Linked DNA regions of Pelodiscus sinensis. The protein of the gene in region 2 purifies or fractionates together with the protein of the main gene of each other region. This does not show direct contact. Links are inferred from orthologs where the notes say so. Each region holds a gene or a part of one and is shown on either strand. Other genes may lie near its edges.

Region 1 (7,899 bases), on a different chromosome or scaffold from region 2:
TTGTTACAGTATAATGGCATTGACCAGGCCTCAGTGACCAAGTATCAAAACTTTAGACTGGAGACACAGCACAATCTGACAATACCTGTAGTAGACTTGGGTTTCCCTTCTGCAGCTTGTGGTGGTGATGCAGTGTCATAGGATGAAGAAGAAAAGGAAGATGGTCTCTGGTCTCCTTTAAGTTGAGGAGTTTCCTTCATTCGATTCACTACATCTTCAGAGAGCTAGAGCAATTTGTTGGGGAGATGTTAAGTGAGTCAATTCTTGATTTTTATTCTTTATTAAGTGGAGTCACCAACAGGTAATTATTTTTAATTCTGCTTATGTTATTTTAAAACATTATTTCAGATCAATGTATCTGTTGTTCAATTCACATTTAGAAAATATATCACATCAGGAAGTTATGGAGTTCCAGTAACCGAGTCTAAGGCTAGACTGGACAAAGAACTGAAGAACAAGCTATAAGGAACAATCCTGTACACAGTGTGGGAGGAGGGTGGGAGGAGCAGGGAAGGATCATTATCTAGCAGATCTTCAGTTCATACTTTTGTAAGTCTAGGAAGAGTTTTTCACAAAACAATAATGAAATGGAAGGGACAAATGTGTCTTATCTCATACTTTGGCAAAGTAGAAAATACATGCAAAAATGTCCTGGGAATTCAATTCCAAGTGTCTTTCTGCCCTTGCCTTTGATGGCATAGACAGGGCTTACATGTCTTTTGATTTACCTGTTCTTATTTACACTTCTTCTGAGTTATCTGATTTAATCTTGTACTAGCCACTCCTCCCTAGTGGACAAAATTGAAGGGTACTCAATTTCAGTGTCCCATGGACACACTTCAGGGCATAAACCAGAATATAGATTTTAAATTTGCTGCTAGTACCCAAAATAAGCAGCATGTTAACATCTTGATTGCATATTGTGATAGTCAGTTTGGTCTTAAGACTTCAACTCTATTCCCTTCTGCTATAAATGAAACACACACAGTAGGCTATCAGCAGATCCCTGGGAACACAGCTCCAGACATACAACATGCACTGCAAAAAAAGAGATAGATAATTATGATGTTTTAGCTATGACAAGGACAAAATTATCAACTCTACAGAAGTGGGTGTACTTCCTTGAAAGAAAATGAACTGTCAACACTAGTTATAAAGCATCTGAGGTTTTTGTAAAAAACAAAGTAATTCCCTTAGAGTTCCAAGAGTGATGAAGCCTATTTCATTTAATAAAAGCTTGCGACTGGATTCAGCTTTGTAATTCAAATGAATGAGCTAGGGAGGTCCCCATTCCTTTAGCGTGAGCTCCTATAATGACAAATATCAGGGCTCCCTCCATTTAACCTCAACTCCTAGAGATCAATGGAATGAACCAATAACCATGAATCAACAATTTTCTTTAATTCAACCACATTCAGCTGAGCAGCAACATAAAATTAACAAGGCAATTCATTTTGTTGTGTAGTTTGTTCATGGAACTGAACACTAAATGGGCCCAGCTAAACAGCAGCATAGAGAAAATTGATTAGGTTTAGATTCTACTCTATATCAAAGATCTGCAACAGGAATCTAAAACAACACTAGTCAGATCCTTATGATTGGAAAGATATGAACATTCTTATCTAGTCTCACTCAGCAGGCCGTTTCACACTGAGCTAAGCAAATAGGCAGCCAAAGGGGATACAACTGGCACAAAGGAAATAATGCAAAATTGCAAAAAAAGTCAAGTAACAGTAAAGAAATAAGGAGACAAATACAAAAGAGAAAAATGCAACCTAGAGACATGACCAACTGTAGCTCAAAGAAAACTTTAAAAACAATGACTAATCTAGCAGCACCTTAAAGACTAACAAAACATGTAGATTAGTAATAGAGACGTAGCAGTGTTAGTGTGGTCTTGCTGAAACAAAAGACAGTATCTCAGACATTAACCTCCCCTCTCCCTACACCTCCTGCTCTAAAATCTGATTTGTCAATTTTATACGTGTTCACATTTTTTTTTGATTGTATCCCTTTGGTATATATGGTCATGCCAATTTTCTTCCACAATTTGATCTGAGGAAGTGGGTCTGGCCCCCGAAAGCTCATCGCCTAATAAACTATCTTGTTAGTCTTTAAAGTGCTGCATGGTCCTATCTTTTATTAAAGCATGTAGATGGTATCGTGAACTTTTGTGGGCACAGAAATGGGTTGTGCCCACAAAAGCTCATGATACCATCTACATGTTTTGTTAGTCTTCAAGGTGCTGCTAGACTATTTGTTGTTTTTTCCAGTTACAGACTAACTTGGCTACTACCCCTCTGAAGCCTTTGTACCTTTAGGGTATGCTATGAGGAGGCAAATGGGGCTGCCTTCCTAAGATCCAATTTTAACCACTCCCTGCCCAATACTACTGGAGATGCTTTTAATCTTCACTCTCAACTCCTATGCCCCTATATACAGTATCTACATTGCACCATTCACTATAGTGCCCAGGTGATATTAATTAAATGGTGTTGGTCTCATCCCTTGGATGCTCTCTGAGCCAGTATCTCAGCTGCCACCTCCTGCCTTTAATGTCAAATCTTCTCTAACCAGAGTGCAGAATGGATTAAACAGCTGGGGGGGGGGGGGGGGGGGGAGGAATACCTTGTATCTCACTAAAACAGACCAGTTCCATAGCTAGCTATCGCTCCCTAGTCCCAGCACCGCTCCCCCTACTACTCCACCCAGCCCCTCTCCTCCACCCCAACTCCACCCACCTAAGGCCCCTCCCCCACCAAGCTTCCCTCTCATCCCCAGCCCCTCTCCCGCCCCCACAGCCTCTCAAGCCAGCTGCCTTCTCAGACCCAGCCCGGCTCACCCTGATGCCCTGCAGCACCCGCACTCGCTCCTGCTCATCCAGCCCGAAGGAGACTTTCCTGTTCCCGTAGCTGCTCTCGCTGCCCCCCATGCCGGCGGGGCTGGACCGGAGTTATCCCGCTGTGCCCCACACTTAGGCTGGGGCAAAGCCTCCTCAGCTACACAAACTCTCCCTAGCCCGCCTACCAACAAACCCACGTCTCATTGGTGGCTGGCAAGGAAGCAGCCAATGGAGAGATATGTTGCTGGCGTTGGCCCGCGGCGCAGGCTGGGAAATGTAGTTTGGTGCTGGGGGATGTTCCGCCAAGGGCTCTCTCTGGATAGGGTTGAATTAGAGAGCCAACCAAGGAAAGCAACGGGCATGAGAGGGGCGGGACGGCCTAGCTACTGAAAGCTTTTCTCAGGCCTGAATTAGCCACTGGGTATTAGAGGCTGAGCTTGAGGTCCTAGTCTCCCACAAGCTCCCTGGTAGGCAACCCCCAACCTTCCCAGAGGAGCAGAGCTCTGCTGTAGAACAATACTGTGATCCCCCAAGCTTTCCACATCATGAGCTGGGCAGGCCTCCAACATAATAACTTGAGGGTTTTTTTTTTAAATAAGTAGTTGGTTGGGCTATTGCTTGTCTTCAGAATTCTTAGCCTTTCAGTTCACTTGCATGGATTTTCTGCATCCCTACAAGGTCTTATAAACTTCCATTAATTTAAAATGGGGGCTCTTCAGGCCCATATGCAGGAATTTCGAGGGTATTGTGTGCTTTTTTCCCCAAAATGTGAATTGCAAGGACGTGAACACACCTCATCTCCATGGCCCCCCAATTAAGTATTGGTTTAAGTTGTTAATATATGGTACAGCCATCAAGAGCACTGGGTGGGTGCCTATACTTTTGAAATATAAAGAAATTACTGAATACATAGGGATGTTAGAAGAATTAGCTAGTTCATAAAAAGAAAGATTTTTCTGATATTCATCCTACCTCTTCTCTTTCTGAATGTTGTCCCCTTACTTCTCTTGCTGTTGTGCAGCACAGTAGTAGTTGTGTGGTCCCATTATACTAGAGACAGACAGAATTTGGTCCAATAAAATATTGTTTCACCCACCTTGTTTCTCTTTGTGCTCACTGTATAAAAGGTTGCCTTCTCTCCTGTATCACAGTGATTTAGATGGAATTTCACTTGGTACCTTTTCTTACACACATTGTTCATAGCTATTTCATTTGAAATTTTTTTTGGCAATTTTGGAACTCAGACCCACCTGGAATATGTAACATTTGGGGGCAGCAGAGGGGAAACACAGCATGCTGAGCTCAGTTTGACCACTTCCTTTGAGTGTGGTTGTCAAGACACTTGATGATATTTTTATATCCTTTTCAAATAAATGCGAAATATAGTAAGGCTCCCACTTAAGCTATTATCATTGTCATAAAGAATGCCCATTGCTTTTATGAGGGTGCCTTGATTTTTAATCCAAGTTGCCACCTCTCATGGTTTTATTGTGAGTCTCGTGTTATCTGATGTTCTTAAAGTTCTTGGATTCATGTGATTACAAGAGAATATCAGCGTTCAGGTAGAAAGAAGATTGGTTTCTAGCTACTATTGCTGAAGAAAAAAATTGAAAAACCTGAACCCTAAAGGCCCTAACACCAAATGGCAAATTAAAAGCCAGCCTCCCCTCCCCATTTAAATCTTAATTATTTTTAAGCCAACATCATGATTTTGAAATTTGATGTTAGTAATGCTTCAAGCTGCACTGCCATCTAAAAGTCTCCTCGCTTCAATATTGGGGAAGGTTGAAAACAGAATTCTGTTTGGGTCAAATGGCATCTTTTTGCAGAGACCTAGCAAAACTCAGTGTCTGTCTTACAACATGTACCTGTAGATGAACAATAGTTTTAGTTGCACACAGTTTAGTAGAACGCAATGTTAACTAGTAGGTATTCTGTGCATACAGTGATCAAATTGCACACCATTTATTTTGTTTAAGGCTTCATTTCCAAAGAAGAAGGCAACAGGTTTATTCTGTAAACATGTGTATGAACTTACTGTATCCATTGTTGTATTGCAAAAAATAATTAAATGCCTTTGCAACATGGATAATTTGTACATGTATACAAATAGCTAGGAGCCAATTGCAAACATGGGAGCTTTGCAGCCTTCTTTGAAAATCTGGCACCTGAACAATGTTTTAACTCATATTAAGGCAACTAACTCAAACATTGCAGCTTATAACAGTTAATGTAGCGTTTGGGTCTTTTGGTGCTCTAGATTCTGGTATTTTAGGATGAGTCTACACTGCAGCATAGCTCGAAATAAGATATGCAATTTGAGCTATGCAACTTGCATATCTTATTTCAACTGCATTTCAAAATAGCTTATTTTGTAATTTAAATTCAAAATAGCCAGTTATTCCGAAACATCCCTTACTCCTCATGGAATGAGGCTTACAGGGATGCCGACATAATAAGCCCATTAGATTTCAAAATAAAGGGCTGGCTGTAAAGATGTAGGACAGCCATTTTAGGATACTCTGGTATCCCAAAATAGCATTGCAGTGCAGACGTAGCCTTAGAGGCCGAGACTGGCTAATTGGCATTTCATTGCATGTGCAAAACCAGAGCACACTTCTGTGATCATTTCTGATTCTGATGGCACCCTTTTAACTGACATTACATTGCAAAACGGGTGTAATAGGGCCTACTGGAGTGCAAAACAAGAACCCCGGGGGCTAGGAACTAAGGATGTTAAGGACCAGTCGACTATCCAATAAGCATTTGCTTATCAGATAGTTGAGTTGACTAGTCGATTTCCACTAGTCAGATAGAGGCAGCAAAGGGGGGAAAGAGGGAGTATTTCAAAGTGGCAGCACCGCACAGAACCTGTACCCTGGGCTCCACTCAGAGGCTGCAGCTTTGAAACGTTGGGCGGCATTTCAAAGGGGCAGTGCCGCACAGCTGATCCTGGGCTCTGTGCGGGGCTGTCCCTTTGAAACACTCCCCAGGTGACCCCAGGCTCTGCAGGGCATTTCCACAGAACCTGAGGTCAGCTGGGGACTCCCCCGCTGATCCCAGGCTCCAGCACAGCAGTTCAAAGCATGCAGAGCCTGGGGTCAGCAGGGGAGTCCCCAGCTGATCTCAGGTTCTGCAGAAATGCCATGCTGAGCCTGGCGTCAGTCCCCAGCTGAACCTGGGCGCTGCATGGCATTTCCATGCAACCTGGGATTAGCTGGGGACTCCCCATCTGATCCCAAGCTTCAGTGCAGCATTTAAAAACGCATGGCATTTCAAAGCAGCATTGCCACATAGAACTCTGAGTCCCCCGCTGACCCCAGGCTCCATGTGGGCGCTTCCACTTTGAAATGCGCAAGAGCCCGGGGACTCCTATACATTTCAAAGGAGAAATGCGGAAGTGCCTATCAAATAGTCAAGTAGTCAATGGAAATTCCATCCACTACTCAACTAGTAAATTAATTGTTATTGAACATCCTTACTAGGAACAGGACCTGGCTTTGTAGGACTTGCAATGCTGGGCATGGGCATGGGCAGGGCAGAGGAAAACACGGAATCCCACCAACCAGAACAGGAGAGAGGGGTGTTCCACACAGCTGGGCTGCAGAGCCCTGGGAATGAAGACACACCGGAGAGGAAGCGCAGCTCGCAGTGTGGCTCTGGGTGGTCTCTGGAGTGACACATACTTGTGTCCCAAGGACAGGCAGTAGCTCAGAAGAGAGCAAGCAGCAGCAGTGACTGCAGCTCTGCTCCCCAGGACCTGGCCTGTGAGGAGGGGATACATGGGGCTTACGGTGCCTTTGCCTTTGAAGCTCCTTAGCACAAGCAGTCCCTGCCCCGCCCTACGCGGGTATGGCATTGAAGTGGTGCCTGGTGCTGGCTCGCTGACCACAGGGGCAGAAGGCTGCAGGGAGAGCCCCAGATGCCCAGCCCTACCTCTGACCTAGCTCCTGGGGTGAAGGGGCAGGAAAATCAGCCCCAGCCTTCCCCTGGCCAGCCAGAGCACAGGGAAGGGAGAAGTGGGCAGTGCGCCCCTCCCGCCTTCCCCCGGCTGGTTGGAGCACAGGGGAGGGGGGTCGGGCAGCGTACTGCTCCTGCCTTCCCCCAGCTGGCCAGAACATGTTTACTTGAGGGATCCTGGGAAGTGTGTTTGCACCCTGCATATGGGCCTGCTCTTATCTAGTCTCTTGATTGCAGTACCTGGGGCTGTATGACAGCATATCACCAACAGGCAAAACCATACTTTGGACCTCTAGAGCTTAGTGCATGAACCTCTATGGCTTGAACTATCAAGGCAGCTGGCTCTCAGCTAAGGCTGTAAAGCAAACTCCAACTTTATAGCTAATCTATTAAAAAGCCTCCATCACCCAAAGAATGATTCCACAAAGCAGCTAAGATTCCATGTCATTCTATCTATAAATTATGGAACCATGCAGTGGTTCTCAGTCAGAGAAACATGTACTATTGGGTTTAATGCAGAGATTTTCCAGAGTTTATCAACTCTTTTAGATTTTGCCTAGTTTTACAAGCTACATAGAAAGCTCTATGAAATCAGTTCTTCCTAAAATTTCATACAATCATTTGTTTATATTGCTCTATATTAAACATCAAAATGTAAGGGCAATATGTACACTCCAGTCAATTGGTTTTTTAATATACGGTAAAAATAAACCATTTTTCAGTAATGGTGTGAGGTGACACCTGTGTCTGATTTTGTAAGCAAGTAGTTTAAGTGAGGTGAAACTCGGGGTATGCAAGGCAAACCAGACTATTGACAAGAATACAGTAGTGTGGCATGGTTGAAAGCCACTGCCTCAATAAACCTATACAGAAGCAGTTGTGGGGACTTTTATAGGAGGCATCGCTAGATGTGGGATATTTGTTGAAGTCCACAGTAATGTTAAGCTAATTAGATAATGCAAGTTATTACTACTCCTTTATCAGTCCATGGAAAACAATGGCAAATCTCTCAGGCTAGGTCTACACTACAGTATAGGGGGGTTTTTTCAGAAAAAAGCTATGCAAATTACTGCAATCTGCATAGCTTTTTCCAATCA
Region 2 (7,268 bases):
TTCCCAGGCCTGAAAGAAGAGCTGTGGAAGCACAAAAGCTTGTCTCACCACAGATATTACCTCACCCACTTTGTCTCTCTACTATCTGGGGACCAACATGGCTATGATAACACTGCATACTAAATAAGGCTTACAATTGACTGATCCCCATATATGGAGCCATTGCAGTTTAATGTGGTATGTTGTGTTTGATCCAGATACATCCAAGAACTACAGGACTAAGGGGTGCAGTGTGTGAGAGGTTTGATCCTCAGGCCTTTGGGAGCCTCTGCCAAGCATGGACCTGTACAGTGTGTAGGGCAGGGGCAGGAAACTTTTTTCAGGATGTGGCCCCCAAATGAGAATGAGAAAGATACTACCCACAGTCTCCTCACACACCAGAGCCTGATGGGCCCCAGACTAGTAGATTTTGTGTATTCCAGCCCCTCAGGTAGGTGGATGGGGAGAGGGGGCTGGAGCACCAGGCAATCCAGGGGCTGCATCTAGCCCCCAGATCTTTGGTTCCCCATCCCTGGTGTAGGGGGTTGATCCTCAGCCCATGGAAGCCTCTGTGCAGCATGGGGCTGTAGTATATGTATGTGAGTGTGGCGGCAACAGGGGGAGGTTGCTGTCCAATCTGTGGGAGCCTTTGCCCAGCAGCAGATTACATGGTTTGTGTGTGGGGGAGGGGTGATCCCCAGTTCCCAGGAGGCTGTATATGTGTGTGGGGGAAGGGGAGTTGATCCCCAGTCCAAGGGAGCCTCTGTGCAGCAGGGGCTATGTGTGTGAGGAGGAGGGGGGAGTTGATCCCGTCCATAGGAGCCTGTGCAGCAGGGGCTCTGTGTGTGTGTGTGATGGGGGAACGGGGAGGGAGTTGATCCTCAGTCCATAGGAATCTGTGCAGCAGGGGTTGTGTGTGTGTGTGGGGGGGGGGGACTAGGGGGCTGATCCCCGTCCATAGGAGGCTGTGCAGCAGGGGCTGTGTATGTGTGTGTGGGGAGGGGCGGGGGCGGAGTTCATCCCCCATCCATAGGAGCCTATGCAGAAGGGGTTGTGTATGTGGGAGCTGATCCCCAGCCCATAGGAGCCTGTGCAGCAGGGACTGGGGGGGAGGGGAGAGGGAAGTGATCCCCAGTCCATAGGAGCCTGTGCAGCAGGGGCTGGGGGGGGGGGAGAGGGAAGTGATCCCCAGCCCATAGGAGCCAGTGCAGCAGGGGCTGGGGGGGGGGGAGAGGGAAGTGATCCCCAGCCCATAGGAGCCAGTGCAGCAGGGGCTGGGGGAGGGGCGGGGGAGGGAAGTGATCCCCAGCCCATAGGAGCCAGTGCAGCAGGGGCTGGGGGGGGGGGGGAGAGGGAAGTGATCCCCAGCCCATAGGAGCCAGTGCAGCAGGGGCTGGGGGGGGGAGAGGGAAGTGATCCCCAGCCCATAGGAGCCAGTGCAGCAGGGGCTGGGGGAGGGGCGGGGGAGGGAAGTGATCCCCAGCCCATAGGAGCCAGTGCAGCAGGGGCTGGGGGGGGGGGGGGAGAGGGAAGTGATCCCTAGCCCATAGGAGCCAGTGCAGCAGGGGCTGGGGGGGGGGGAAGAGGGAAGTGATCCCCAGTCCATAGGAGCCTGTGCAGCAGGGGCTGGGGGGGGGGGGGAGAGGGAAGTGATCCCTAGCCCATAGGAGCCAGTGCAGCAGGGGCTGGGGGGGGGGGAAGAGGGAAGTGATCCCCAGTCCATAGGAGCCTGTGCAGCAGGGGCTGGGGGGGGGGGGGGAAGAGGGAAGTGATCCCCAGTCCATAGGAGCCAGTGCAGCAGGGGCTGGGGGGGGGGGGGAGAGGGAAGTGATCCCCAGTCCATAGGAGCCTGTGCAGCAGGGGCTGGGGGGGGGGGGGAGGGAAGTGATCCCCAGTCCATAGGAGCCTGTGCAGCAGGGGCTGGGGGGGGGGGAAGAGGGAAGTGATCCCCAGTCCATAGGAGCCAGTGCAGCAGGGGCTGGGGGGGGGGAGAGGGAAGTGATCCCCAGCCCATAGGAGCCTGTGCAGCAGGGGCTGGGGGGGGGGGAGAGGGAAGTGATCCCCAGTCCATAGGAGCCAGTGCAGCAGGGGCTGGGGGGGGGGGAGAGGGAAGTGATCCCCAGCCCATAGGAGCCTGTGCAGCAGGGGCTGGGGGGGGGGGGGGGAGAGGGAAGTGATCCCCAGTCCATAGGAGCCAGTGCAGCAGGGGCTGGGGGGGGGGGGGGGAGAGGGAAGTGATCCCCAGCCCATAGGAGCCAGTGCAGCAGGGGCTGGGGGGGGGGGGAGAGGGAAGTGATCCCCAGTCCATAGGAGCCAGTGCAGCAGGGGCTGGGGGGGGGGGGGAGAGGGAAGTGATCCCCAGCCCATAGGAGCCAGTGCAGCAGGGGCTGGGGGGGGGGAGAGGGAAGTGATCCCCAGCCCATAGGAGCCAGTGCAGCAGGGGCTGGGGGGGGGGAGAGGGAAGTGATCCCCAGCCCATAGGAGCCAGTGCAGCAGGGGCTGGGGGGGGGGGGGAGAGGGAAGTGATCCCCAGCCCATAGGAGCCAGTGCAGCAGGGGCTGGGGGGGGGGGGGGGGGGAGAGGGAAGTGATCCCCAGCCCATAGGAGCCAGTGCAGCAGGGGCTGGGGGGGGGGAGAGGGAAGTGATCCCCAGCCCATAGGAGCCAGTGCAGCAGGGGCTGGGGGGGGGGGAGAGGGAAGTGATCCCCAGCCCATAGGAGCCAGTGCAGCAGGGGCTGGGGGGGGGGGAGAGGGAAGTGATCCCCAGCCCATAGGAGCCAGTGCAGCAGGGGCGGGGGGGGGGGAGAGGGAAGTGATCCCCAGCCCATAGGAGCCTGTGCAGCAGGGGCTGGGGGGGGGGGAGAGGGAAGTGATCCCCAGCCCATAGGAGCCTGTGCAGCAGAGGCTGGGGGGGGGGAGAGGGAAGTGATCCCCAGCCCATAGGAGCCTGTGCAGCAGAGGCTGGAGGGGGGGGGAGAGGGAAGTGATCCCCAGCCCATAGGAGCCTGTGCAGCAGAGGCTGGGGGGGGGGGGGAGAGGGAAGTGATCCCCAGCCCATAGGAGCCTGTGCAGCAGAGGCTGGAGGGGGGGGGAGAGGGAAGTGATCCCCAGCCCATAGGAGCCTGTGCAGCAGAGGCTGGGGGGGGGGGGAGAGGGAAGTGATCCCCAGCCCATAGGAGCCAGTGCAGCAGAGGCTGGAGGGGGGGGGAGAGGGAAGTGATCCCCAGCCCATAGGAGCCTGTGCAGCAGAGGCTGGGGGGGGGGGAGAGGGAAGTGATCCCCAGCCCTAAGGAGCCAGTGCAGCAGGGGCTGGGGGGGGGGGGAGAGGGAAGTGATCCCCAGCCCATAGGAGCCAGTGCAGCAGGGGCTGGGGGGGGGGGGGAGAGGGAAGTGATCCCCAGCCCATAGGAGCCAGTGCAGCAGGGGCTGGGGGGGGGAGGGGAGAGGGAAGTGATCCCCAGCCCATAGGAGCCAGTGCAGCAGGGGCTGGGGGGGGGGGGGAGAGGGAAGTGATCCCCAGCCCATAGGAGCCAGTGCAGCAGGGGCTGGGGGGGGGGGGAGAGGGAAGTGATCCCCAGCCCATAGGAGCCAGTGCAGCAGAGGCTGGGGGGGGGGAGAGGGAAGTGATCCCCAGCCCATAGGAGCCAGTGCAGCAGGGGCTGGGGGAGGGGGGGAGAGGGAAGTGATCCCCAGCCCATAGGAGCCAGTGCAGCAGGGGCTGGGGGGGGGGAGAGGGAAGTGATCCCCAGCCCATAGGAGCCAGTGCAGCAGGGGCTGGGGGAGGGGGGGGGAGAGGGAAGTGATCCCCAGCCCATAGGAGCCAGTGCAGCAGGGGCTGGGGGGGGGGGGGGAGAGGGAAGTGATCCCCAGCCCATAGGAGCCAGTGCAGCAGGGGCTGGGGGGGGGGAGAGGGAAGTGATCCCCAGCCCATAGGAGCCAGTGCAGCAGGGGCTGGGGGGGGGGGGGAGAGGGAAGTGATCCCCAGCCCATAGGAGCCTGTGCAGCAGGGGCTGGGGGGGGGGGGGGAGAGGGAAGTGATCCCCAGCCCATAGGAGCCTGTGCAGCAGGGGCTGCTGGTGGGGTGATGCCCAGCACGGACCATACGGGGATGACCCAGGGTAGGCCAGGCGCTGGCTGCCGTGTCGGTGCACTCCGGGGAGGGGGCCCGCGGGCCGGGCCAGGCGGCACTGCGGGAGGGGCGGGCCCGGGAGGCGGAGCGGGCCCCGGATGCACTTGCCCCGGCGCTGCCAGGCCGGCTCCTAGTTCCTGCGCGTGCCCTTAACCTTGCGGGGCCCGTTCCGAGCCCAAGCGGGGCCGCGGCTGCGCCTGGTGCGGGCGGGCTCGGCCGCAGGGATCATGTCGCTGGTGGCGGAGGCGTTTGTGTCTCAAATAGCAGGTAGCGGGAAGGAGGCGCTGGGGGGCGGGGGGCGCTGGCACGAGGCAGGCCGGGTTCGGGGCGAGATGGGCCTCGCGGCGGGGCAGGAGGCAAAAGCCAGTGGGCCCTGCGCAGCTCCCCGTTCCCGACTCCGGCCGCAGGGTGCGAGACCCGGCTCTCGTGCAGTCTGGCCGCGTCCCGTAGGCAGGGCCAGGCCCTGCTACCTGCGCGGTGACCATGCTGTTGATGATGCGGTCGGAGGAAGGTTTGTTATGGTGTTTAAGGAGCTGGATTCTCTATTGCAGGAACGATACCACGCGGCGCGGCGTCCCGCTCTGTGCGTTCTGCTTTGGAAATGTTGCGAGGCAAACCTCAGAGTTTTTAATAGCCTGCTGTCAACAACGTGTGTCCCCTCACTGGCCTCTTACAGAGAGAAACACATGCATCGGATGATTTGACTCGCCTAGTGTGCTTTTGTTTCCCTGCCACCGCAAAAGGATGTTTGTTTCTTTTTTAATATGCAAGGGCATTTTCCTCTTATCAGAAGTAGAGGTTCATTTGCTCAGGAAGGACAGACAGGGAAATAAGGGAGGAGGGGTTGCCTTGTATATTAAAAATGTACACACTTGGACTGATGTGGAGATGAACGTAGGAGATAGCTTAACCCAGAGACTCTCTACACAGCTAAAAGGGGTAAAAAATGAGGGTGATGTCATGCTAGGAGTCTACTACAGGCCACCCAGCCAGGTGGAAGAGGTGGATGAGGCCTTTTTTAAACAATTAACAAAACTATCCAAAGCCCAAGATTTGGTGGTGATGGGGGACTTCAACTATCCAGACATATGTTGGGAAACTAACACAGCGGGGCGCAGGCTATCCAATAAGTTTCTGAACTGCATTGGAGACAACTTTCTGTTTCAGAAGGTTGAAAAAACTGCCAGAGGAGAAGCTGTTCTGGATTTGATTTTAACAAATAGGGAGGAACTAGTTGAGAACTTGAAAGTGGAAGACAGTATGGGGGACAGTGATCATGAAATAATAGAGTTCATGATCTTAAGGAAAGATAGAAGGGAGACCAACACAATTGAGGTAATGGATTTCAGGAAGGCAGATTTTGATAAGCTCAGAGAACTTGTTGGTAAGGTCCCATGGGAAGCAAGACTGAAGGGAAAAACAACTGAGGAGAGTTGGAAGTATTTCAAAGGGATGTTGTTAAGGGCCCAAAATCAAACAATTCCGCTGTGTTGGAAAGATAGAAAATATGGCAAAAGACCAGCTTGGCTTAACAAGGAGATCTTGCATGATCTCAAAATAAAAAAGGAGTCATATAAAAAATGGAAACTAGGACAAATAACAAAGGATGAATATAGGCAAGTAACACGGGAATGCAGGGGCAAGATTAGAAAGGCAAAGGCACAAAATGAGATCAAACTAGCTACAGGCATAAAGGGAAACAAGAAGACCTTTTATAAATACATTAAAAGCAAGAGGAAGACCAAGGACAGGGTAGGCCCACTGCTCAGTGAGGAGGGAGAAGCAGTAACAGGAAACTTGGAAATGGCGGAGATGCTCAATGACTTCTTTGTTTCGGTCTTCACCGAGAAGTCTGGAGGTGTGCCTAACGTAGTGAATACAAGCAGAGAGAGGGTAAGTTTAGAAGATAGGATACACAAAGAACAAGTTAAAAATCACTTAGGAAAGTTAGATGTCAGCAAGTCACCAGGTCCTGATGAAATGCATCCCAGGATACTCAAGGAGCTGAAAGAGGAGGTATCTGAGCCTTTAGCTATGATCTTTGAAAAATCATGGAAGACAGGGGAGATACCAGAAGACTGGAAAAGGGCAAATATTGTGCCCATCTATAAAAAGGGGAATAAGAACAACCTAGGAAACTACAGACCGGTCAGTTTAACATCTGTCCCAGGGAAGATAATGGAGCAGGTAATTAAGGAAATCGTATGCAAACACTTGGAAGGTAATAAAGTGATAGGGAATAGCCAGCATGGGTTTGTGAAGAACAAGTCATGCCAAACTAATCTGATAGCTTTCTTTGATAGGATAACGAGCCTTGTGGATAAGGGAGAAGCGGTGGATGTCATATACCTAGACTTTAGTAAGGCATTTGATACGGTCTAGCATGATATTCTTATTGATAAACTAGGCAAATATAACTTAGATAGGGCCACGATAAGGTGGGTGCATAATTGGCTGGATAACCGTAGTCAGAGAGTTGTTGTTAACGGTGCTAAATCCTGCTGGAAAGGGATAACAAGTGGAGTTCCGCAGGGGTCTGTTTTGGGACCTGTACTGTTCAATATCTTCATCAATGATGTAGATATTGGGATAGAGAGTATGCTTATTAAGTTTGCAGATGATACCAAACTGGGTGGGGTTGCAACTTCTTTGGAGGATAGGGACATAATTCAAAATGACCTTAGCAAGTTAGAGAAATGGTCAGAGGTAAACAGGATGAAAGTTTAATAAAGAGAAATGCAAAGTACTCCAACTTAGGAAGGAACAATCAGTTCCATACATACAAGATGGGAAGCGACTGTCTAGGAAGGAGCATGGCGGAAAGAGATCTAGGGGTCATAGTGGACCACAAGTTGAATATGAGTCAACAGTGTGATGCTGTTGCAAAAAAAGCAAATATGATTCTAGGTTGTATCAACAGGTGTGTTGTAAGCAAAACTCATGAAGTCATTCTGCCGCTCTACTCTGCATTAGTTAGGCCTCAGCTGGAGTACTGTGTCCAGTTCTGGGCGCCACATGTCAAGAAAGATGTGGAGAAATTGGAAAGGGTACAGAGAAGAGCGACAAGAATGATTAAAGGTCTAGAGAACATGACCTATGAAGCCAGGCTTCATGAACTGGGCTTGTTTAGTTTGGAAAAAAGAAGATTAAGGGGGGACAT
Region 3 (7,814 bases), on a different chromosome or scaffold from region 2:
AACTGTTGGCCCAGTGTTTAGAGTGACACCTGGGACACATATTTAATTCCCTCCTTTGCCAGAGGGAGAGAAAAGATTTGAACAGGGGTCTCCCATGTCTCACAAGAGTGCTCTAACCACTAATCAAAGGCCTATGTTGATGCAAGGCTCCACTCCTCTCCCTTATAGAAGCTGTTCCATTGGGCATAAATAAGTGTGATTGAAGCAGGAAGACTGGATCCTTCAACTTCCACCTTCCAGATAGGTGTCCCAACCACTCTATCAAAACAGCCCTTAGAATTAAAGTTATGTATTTCTAATTTTCAGCTTCTAATTCCTGTGGGGCCCCAAGTCTTCAAGAAACATGAATAGGACATTAAAATATGTGACTCAGTAAAAGATTTTACAGCTCAGTACCAGCTCCTGGTGAACTGCCTGCCACTTTGCATGCAAACATGTACCAGCTGAAATTTTCAGCAGTTACATATTTACTTAAACTATACAATAATCCTGATTAGCCAAAATTTGTAAGTTCACCAAAAATCTTTAACACACGAAGGCTATGTCTACACTGGCATGATCTTGTGCAAAAACTCTTCCAGAAGAGAGCATCTACACTGGCACGTGCTTTTGCGCAAGAGCATCCATGCCAGTGTAGATGCTCTCTTGCGCAAGAAAGCTCTGATGGCCATTTTAACCATAGGGCTTTCTTGCGCAAGAAATTCATGTTGCCTGTCTACACTGGCCTCTTGCACAACAGTTGTGCAAAAGGGCTTATTCCTGAGCGGGAGCATCAGAGTTCTGGTGCAAGAAGCCCTGATTTCCTACAGTAGAACGTCAGTTTACTTGAGCAAGAACTCGTGGTCAAGTTTTTGCACAAGAGCAGCCGCTTTTGCGTAAGAGCACGCCAGTGTAGACACAGCCAAAGGGTAAGTGTGTTCAACTCTCAAGAGATGGCTGGCAGTTTTTGGAAGTGTACCTTCTAGTGTACCACCCACTACTCTCACTTTCCACAAACCTTGATTTAAAGGATGTCAGATGATTTGCCATGCTGAATTCTTTAACCTTACAGTGCAACAGGAAGAATGCCAGCTACTGTTGTGGGGTGAGCTGGCTAGCTTTAAAGAGATTGCATTCTAAGTACAAAGCTATGAGGCCTTTTATATATTGGCTCCTTGTTGTTCTCTGTGGATGGAAAACATATACCAAAGGATAGAATAAAATCCTAAAAGTGTATGTTTAGTAATTAGCTTTACGTGCTTCTGTAAAGAAAGACACAATATTCCAATAAGGTACTTGGAAAAAAAAATCAGTCCCTTCTATAAATACAGTCTGCAGAAGAAAGTTTGAAAAATTGCTTTAAGGAAGACTTCAAGCTCATGCTCTCCAAACATGAGAGTTAAACTTCTGCTTTTATTTTCTGCAACTGGCTGCTTCTTGGAATGACAATATATACTTCTCATATATACCATTTTTCTCTTACACTGCCAACACTAACAAGTCCCATTCATTGAAGGATTGCAGATTCCCTCTTTTGGGGATCAACTTTAAAACTGCTTTTAAAAGCAAAGATGATAAAGGTAGCTCTGTGGATTTCAGCAACATTTAACATTTATTCAAAGTTTGAAGTATCCCTTTAACCTAACCCAAAGCAACTCCTGTCCACAATGATGTTCCCTGTTATTTATGAAACAGCAACATGCTCTGGGATAGTAAAGGAAAAAGTATGAAAAAGACCCACACCAGCACACGTTAATTTAGAAGAAGAAAGGTTGGAGTGTATAGGGAAACCAAAACAAGAGATTATCCTAGGGCAGTTTTATCATAATGGTCGTTTGTTTCCTTCTAAATCTTATAGAAGGCTTAAAACAAAACAAGAGAGAGGGAGAGTCATGTAATCAGGAGAAATCAGAGGGAAACAAGGTCATGTCCTTCTCCACTAAAAGCAGGCATCTGGGCACTTTAAAAACACGAGTGTCCATTTTGTTCCTGTAGCAAGAGACAGCTGTAAGACTATTTCCAACACCTGGTAGTGTTCATTGCACCTGCTGCTCCCCGACAAGGAAAGAGCAACCAGGGACACCCCCCCGCAAAAGTCAGGCTCACGTAGGTGTACAAGGCGCGCAGCTGGCACAGGCCCGCCTCTACCGTAGAGGGGATGCCAAGGAGACTTCAACGCCCAGCGTGCTAAGCCACCGCCTGAGCCCTGTAGAAGAGCTGCAACTACAACTCCCAGCATACGGGGTGAAACGAGGCTCCCGGCCCGTGACGAAGTTTAATCCCACAATGCACTGCTCACCTTAAGACCGCAGACCTCTCCTAAAGAACAGACGTCAGCAGCCTACAAACCCTCCACCCGCACAGCGCGAGGACCGAACGCAAGACGACAAGGACCGGCAGGCAGCGCGAAACCCCCATGCCCAAGACAGATTTGCGCGTTGCATTCTGGGGCTCGTAGTCTACTTAACCACATCATGTGACTCAGCTAGCTCCGCCTCGCACAGTCTATTGGGCCATTTCACCCGTCACTCAAAAGGCGGCCGTCCAATCAGAATCTACGTGCGCCCCGTCATTCGGGTCAAGCGGAGCCGCGATTAAAGGACGCGACTTCTAATCACTCTCTCCCCTGGTCTCCTCTCGTGCGACCCGATTCCGTCTCCTCGCCTGAAAGTAGCCTCTCGCGACTTATCGATACGGCTCCCCTCATATCGCAAGGAGGCCCCCGGGCGCGACCGGCCCAGGCGCAGCTCCTGCCTCCCTCGCCAGCTGTGGGCGGCCCCCTTCCCCGCTCACCTGGGCGGCGGCCGCGGCCCCCGCTCGCTGACACACTCGCAGCATCGTCCCGAAGCGCCGGGCACTGTGCGTGGTTAGCCGCGGGAGTTCACGTGAAGCTGCTGTGTGCGGCAACTCCCCGCAGGGCCCGCTGCCTCCGCCCCCCTCAGCAGCAGTCCAACCCACTGCGCAGGCGCAGCAACTGCCGCGCCGCTGAGGGAAGAGATGGTGACTGGCGGGGCCCTCAATCAGAATATGCAAATACGGTCCCTCCGCAGACAGGAGCCACGCCGGCGATATGGCGCGCTCAGAGAAGGGAGTGTCAGAGGGGGTAGCCAATCGCAACGCCTGATAATACAAGCAGCGCGCAGGCGCAGTGAGGGAAGTGCAGCGGCGGAGTAAAGAGCGGGGTGGAGCTGACGGGAAAGTAACCAAAGCGAAGGGGGCGGGGCTAGCCCTCGGCCCGCGCCTTGAGCTGGGTTGGAGCCTGTCAGCTGCAGCAGGGGCGCGGGACCAGGGGGCGCTGGCAAGCAGTGAAGCCCTCCAAGGCAGCGGTATGGCAGTAGCACCCCACCGCCCCCAGTGCCAGCATCCGCTGAGCCCTGAGGCTGTGTCTAGACTGGCCAGTTTTTCCGGAAAATCAGCCACTTTTCCGGAAAAACTTGCCAGCTGTCTACATTGTGCCAGCTGTCTACACTGGCTGCTTGAATTTCTGCAAAAGCACTGACGATCTTTTGCGCAAAACTTTTGCGCAAAAGGGCCAGTGTAGACAGCTCAGATTTGTTTTGCGCAAAAAAGCCCCCATCGCGAAAATGGCGATTGGGGCCTTTTTGCAGAAAAGCGCGTCTAGATTGGCACGGACGCTTTTCCACAAAAAGTGCTTTTGCGGAAAAGCATCCGTGCCAATCTAGACGCTCTGTTCCGAAACTGCTTTTAACGGAAAACTTTTCCGTTAAAAGCATTTCCGGAAAATCATGCCAGTCTAGATGTAGCCCGCCTGTTTCAGTTCCGGGGGGGGCGGGCCAAGCCCACCCACAGCAGAAGGTCCCTCTCTCCCAGTCTAAGGGGAGATGCAACTGAACCTATTGTGCTCAAAAAGTTTTAGGGTGGGGGGGCGACAACCATGAGCGGCCCATAACTGTCCCCACTCCCTTCTCTTCTGCCGGAGGCAGTGCCTCTCCTCTTCTCTCAAGAGCCTGCCCAGACTACTCCCATTGCTTCCCTTGGCGCCAGTGGCTGGGTGATAAGACCTCAGCCCTGGAGCTCTGGACAGCACTGCTGCAGTGCCCTCAACCCTGGGGCCAGAGCTGTCCTTACTAGTGCTGGTCCCTTATCCAGCCCAACACCAGAATGTACACACACACATGCTGTGGGGTGGGAGCAGCAGCAATGTGGAGCAATGTAGGGAGGTAGAAGCTGTGGGGAGTAGGGGTTTGCCAACTCTCCCAGGCTAGACACACTGTCAGCTGAGAAAGTTGACAACCTTGAAGCGGAGCAAGGAGGGAGGCTTACCTGCAGCATCAGGGCAGGAGGGCAGGAGGCAAGAGACACAGGTGGAGGCCAGAGAAGCAAAGCTGGGTATTTGGGCAGCCAACCAGGAGAGATTCAAATGCTGCCCTGCTGATTACAGAATGCTCACAGCCTGCAACGTGTTTCTGGTAGTGCACATCCACACATGCCTTGATGCACATAAAATTTATTACACTTGTCTACAGAAAAAAAAACAGAACATCGTCTCCAACCCTGATGATCCAGGTGGCCAGCCCCAGATCACCAAGCAACGTGCTCCAAGTGCCCGGCGGCCAGCATGCTCCAAGTGCCAGGAGGGCAGGGTGGCTCTAGTCCAGCCACCAATTCTTGCCAGAGCAGGCTGGCCAACCCCAGCCAGCCAGGGCAGAGTACTGGGAATAACAAGCAGGAGGGGGCTTGCTGGCCTGGACTGGGGAAAGAGCATGAGTGGGGCCACACTAGGCTGTTTTGGAAGGCATGCCTCCCTCTGCATATGATATCCACTGCCCGTGAGGACAGCTAATGAAAAACCAGGAACAGGAGTGAGGTCATATGGCCATGAGCAAGGAACTGGAGAATACCAAGCAGAGAGCCCCAGACAGCATTCACTGTTCCTCAAAAATGTTTAAGAATGCTGGTCAGAGGAACAGAAGTAGGCCCCACAGTCACAGAGCACCTCTCTCTCCAAGATCTTCCTAGTTTTATACATGCTACTTTGGTTAATGCAAGTAGGAGATTAATGAGGTCTCGTGACTTTGTGAGGCCATGGACAAGATGTGCAATAATCAGGAGGTATGGGGAAAATGCAGCCAGAACCTTGGAAAAATGTTCAGGAGGATCCAGAAAAGGGGCTGCAGCCAGGCACACTGCAGGTAAGTATGCACTAAGGTCTTCCTCATGCTGCAGAAAGGACAGGAGTCAGGGTCATGGGTGAACAATGCCAAGTAAATGCCCATGCTCACAGACACCAGCTGATATTCTTGGTGGGCTGTGGGACCAAGGTGGAATACAGACTGCTCCACTGAGGTTCCTAGTCCTCCAAGGCTGGTAGAAAGTCACAAGGTCCCTCACACTAGGACATGAGGAAGAAATGAAATGTATGGAGCACAGCACACAGAAGGCTCAGATTACACATGTGGAATGCTGGTGGAGGGAACTTGCAATGTAGGGATCTTATGAAAAGATCTGAAGTAGGGATATCACCGGTTAACAAGTAAGCATCATCTTTACCGTGTGACTCTTCTCGGTTACCCAGTAAACACCGCCTTTGCAGCGTGATACTTATCTGTTACCGGTTACCTGGTGAACACCACCTTTGCCACGTTACCGGTTAACCGATGCTCTGGTGCAGTGGGGGGCTACTCCAGTCTGGCTGGGTCTACTGCACCATGGGCTGGGGGTACTCCGACCCAACCGGGCTGAAGCAGCTCTCCACACATAATGCAGTGGGCCTGGCTGGAGCAACCTGTCACCCATGGCATAGTAATGACTCAACTACTTGATAAGCCTAGGCTTATTTGGTAGTCAACTACTCGACTATTCGCTTACATCATTATTCTAAACCTATTTATTGTTCATGATGTCCGTGTTTGCTTAAATCTAATAAACTGCAGTGTTAGATAAGAGCATGTTTCCTGGCAATTTAATCACAATTGCTGAATTCCTCTTGATTCCTTACACTACCTGGAGTGAGATAACTAAGCTGTCCCTGAGGTAACAGACTGGAAAAAAATGCTCCCAATAGTCCAGCTATCAGAGTAAAAAAAATGAGCCGTCCTGTAGCACCTGAGAAACTAACAAAAATATAGATAGTATCATGCACTTGAATGGGCAAAAGCCACTTCCTCAGATGAGCTATCAGTAGTTATCAGATGTGCTTCATAGCATCTGCACTTGGTGAGAAGGCTGTATCCTTTCCTTTGCCACTTGAAGATTAGATTAGCAATACCCTCTGTGTACACCTCTCAACTCTTAAATTGTCATGAGCCCAGACTGCGGCTGTCTGCACAGGAAGGGCCTGATCCTGCGATAAGAATGGTAGGGCAATAGACACTGCATGGGATAAATGTCAGCTCATGTGGTTTTCATTGCGAGAATGGGCCTTAGCGTTGTTTTCTCCCAGGGATGCGTTGCGCCCTGAAGCAACAGAGCAGTTTTAGGAAAACAATGAAAGGCAACAGTAAATGATCAGGAAGAGAAGATACAAGTAAGTATGGGTGGGATATACCTGTCCTTCTCATTATAGACGATTCCCCGCGGTCCTGCTGCTGCGTTTCTAATACAAGAACTGCTGTGCTATTACCAGTGGCCAGGCAGGGCGACTGACCCCATGCTGCAACGGCTCCAGGAAGGAACAATTTATTCCGCTTTTACTTCCGAACACTACTGAATTTAGCTAGCCCAGGCGGGTGCGGAGGGGCATTCAAAGCAGCTAAAGAGGCACTAAGGAACCCCGCCCTCGAACACCCGCCCAGAAGCAGGTGGTGGAAGGATTGCTGCCCTGGCCAGCAGGAGAGCGGAGTTCCCCTAACCCACAGAGACCCTGCAGCACAGCTGCTGCACCAGGCGCGCGCAGAGCAGCCGGCGGATGGAACGCCCAGCCGCCCACTCCGGCGCATGAGCAGACACTCGGGCGTCGGGCAGCCAGTGCGTGCGGGCGAGGAAAAGCGGCTTTCCGGCTTCTGTAACCGCTCGTCGCGCGGCCTCCCCGTTCTAATCCCGCCCCCCGCGCGCAGTGTGTCCCTCGCTGCCTGCCGTAGGCGGGCCGCAAACGGCTGGCAAGATGGCGGCAGCTGGTGTGGTACGCAGGTTATCGGGTCAGTGAGAAAGAGACACTGGCGGCGGGCGCCGTCTCAAAGGGGCCTCCTGGTCCGGGGGGAGGATGTAGGCGAGGGAGAGCAGCTGCTGGGGGAGGCTCCTTGCCCGTGGGAAGGATGCAAAGGGGGGGCGCTCGGGAGGGAAGCTGCTGGGGGGGGGGGCGCTCCTAGATCATCGTGGCCCTAAGCCCCTTGTGTTTCTTTGCCTCGTTTCAACAGCCTCTCCCTGCCGACGTGGGGAGGGTGGTTCTGTCTGGGGCAGCACAAACCAGGCACCCGCCTGGCCTTGGTTGATCAGCGACTCCAGTTCTCTGCTGTGGGATTCGGGAAGCTCACAGGGAGGCTCCGCCCCAACTGCACGCAGCTGGGAGAAGGGGGAGGGCACTGAGCATGTGTGGGAGAGGGGGAAGTGTGAAGTAAGGATGTTAAATATCGACTCATGTATTAGTCTAGTAGTCGATGGGCGTTCTGCGTTTCTCCTTTGACATGTACAAGAGCCCCAGCAGGGGCTTCTGCTTCGGAATACACAAGAGTCCCGCTGACCCAGGGCTCCACGTGGCGCTGTTGCTTTGAAATGCTGCACAACATTTCAAAGCAGCAGCGCCACACGAAGTCTGCTCTGTAATACCACCTCCTTCCCCCCCCCCCCCACACACACCCCTTTGCTGCCTCTATCTGATAGAGGCGACAAGGTGCGGGGAGCGACTAGTTGACTCGACTAATAAGCATTTTCTTATC

What was found. The genes of interacting proteins can lie anywhere in the genome.
Region 1: the proteins of MTX2 (region 2) and CHCHD6 purify together in Homo sapiens (co-immunoprecipitation; 3 studies listed by BioGRID and IntAct, counting the BioPlex papers as one, with this or other methods). This does not show direct contact. The link is inferred for Pelodiscus sinensis from reciprocal best matches to the Homo sapiens genes MTX2 and CHCHD6.
Region 3: the proteins of MTX2 (region 2) and IMMT purify together in Homo sapiens (co-immunoprecipitation; 5 studies listed by BioGRID and IntAct, counting the BioPlex papers as one, with this or other methods). This does not show direct contact. The link is inferred for Pelodiscus sinensis from reciprocal best matches to the Homo sapiens genes MTX2 and IMMT.

The regions. Positions count from the first base shown.
Region 1 is NC_134721.1:24,267,917-24,275,815, forward strand, and holds the start of CHCHD6 (MICOS complex subunit MIC25), read right to left. Parts: upstream 3,049-7,899; 5' UTR 2,933-3,048; coding exon 2,843-2,932; intron 225-2,842; coding exon 86-224; intron 1-85. UniProt on the Homo sapiens protein: Component of the MICOS complex, a large protein complex of the mitochondrial inner membrane that plays crucial roles in the maintenance of crista junctions, inner membrane architecture, and formation of contact sites to the outer membrane.
Region 2 is NC_134717.1:44,842,311-44,849,578, forward strand, and holds the start of MTX2 (metaxin-2), read left to right. Parts: upstream 1-4,203; 5' UTR 4,204-4,335; coding exon 4,336-4,375; intron 4,376-7,268. UniProt on the Homo sapiens protein: Involved in transport of proteins into the mitochondrion.
Region 3 is NC_134715.1:122,618,637-122,626,450, forward strand, and holds the start of IMMT (MICOS complex subunit MIC60), read right to left. Parts: upstream 3,049-7,814; 5' UTR 2,818-3,048; coding exon 2,773-2,817; intron 2,416-2,772; exon of another isoform or gene 2,279-2,415; intron 1-2,278. Other genes in the region: MRPL35 (large ribosomal subunit protein bL35m), read left to right, coding at 6,877-7,076. UniProt on the Homo sapiens protein: Component of the MICOS complex, a large protein complex of the mitochondrial inner membrane that plays crucial roles in the maintenance of crista junctions, inner membrane architecture, and formation of contact sites to the outer membrane.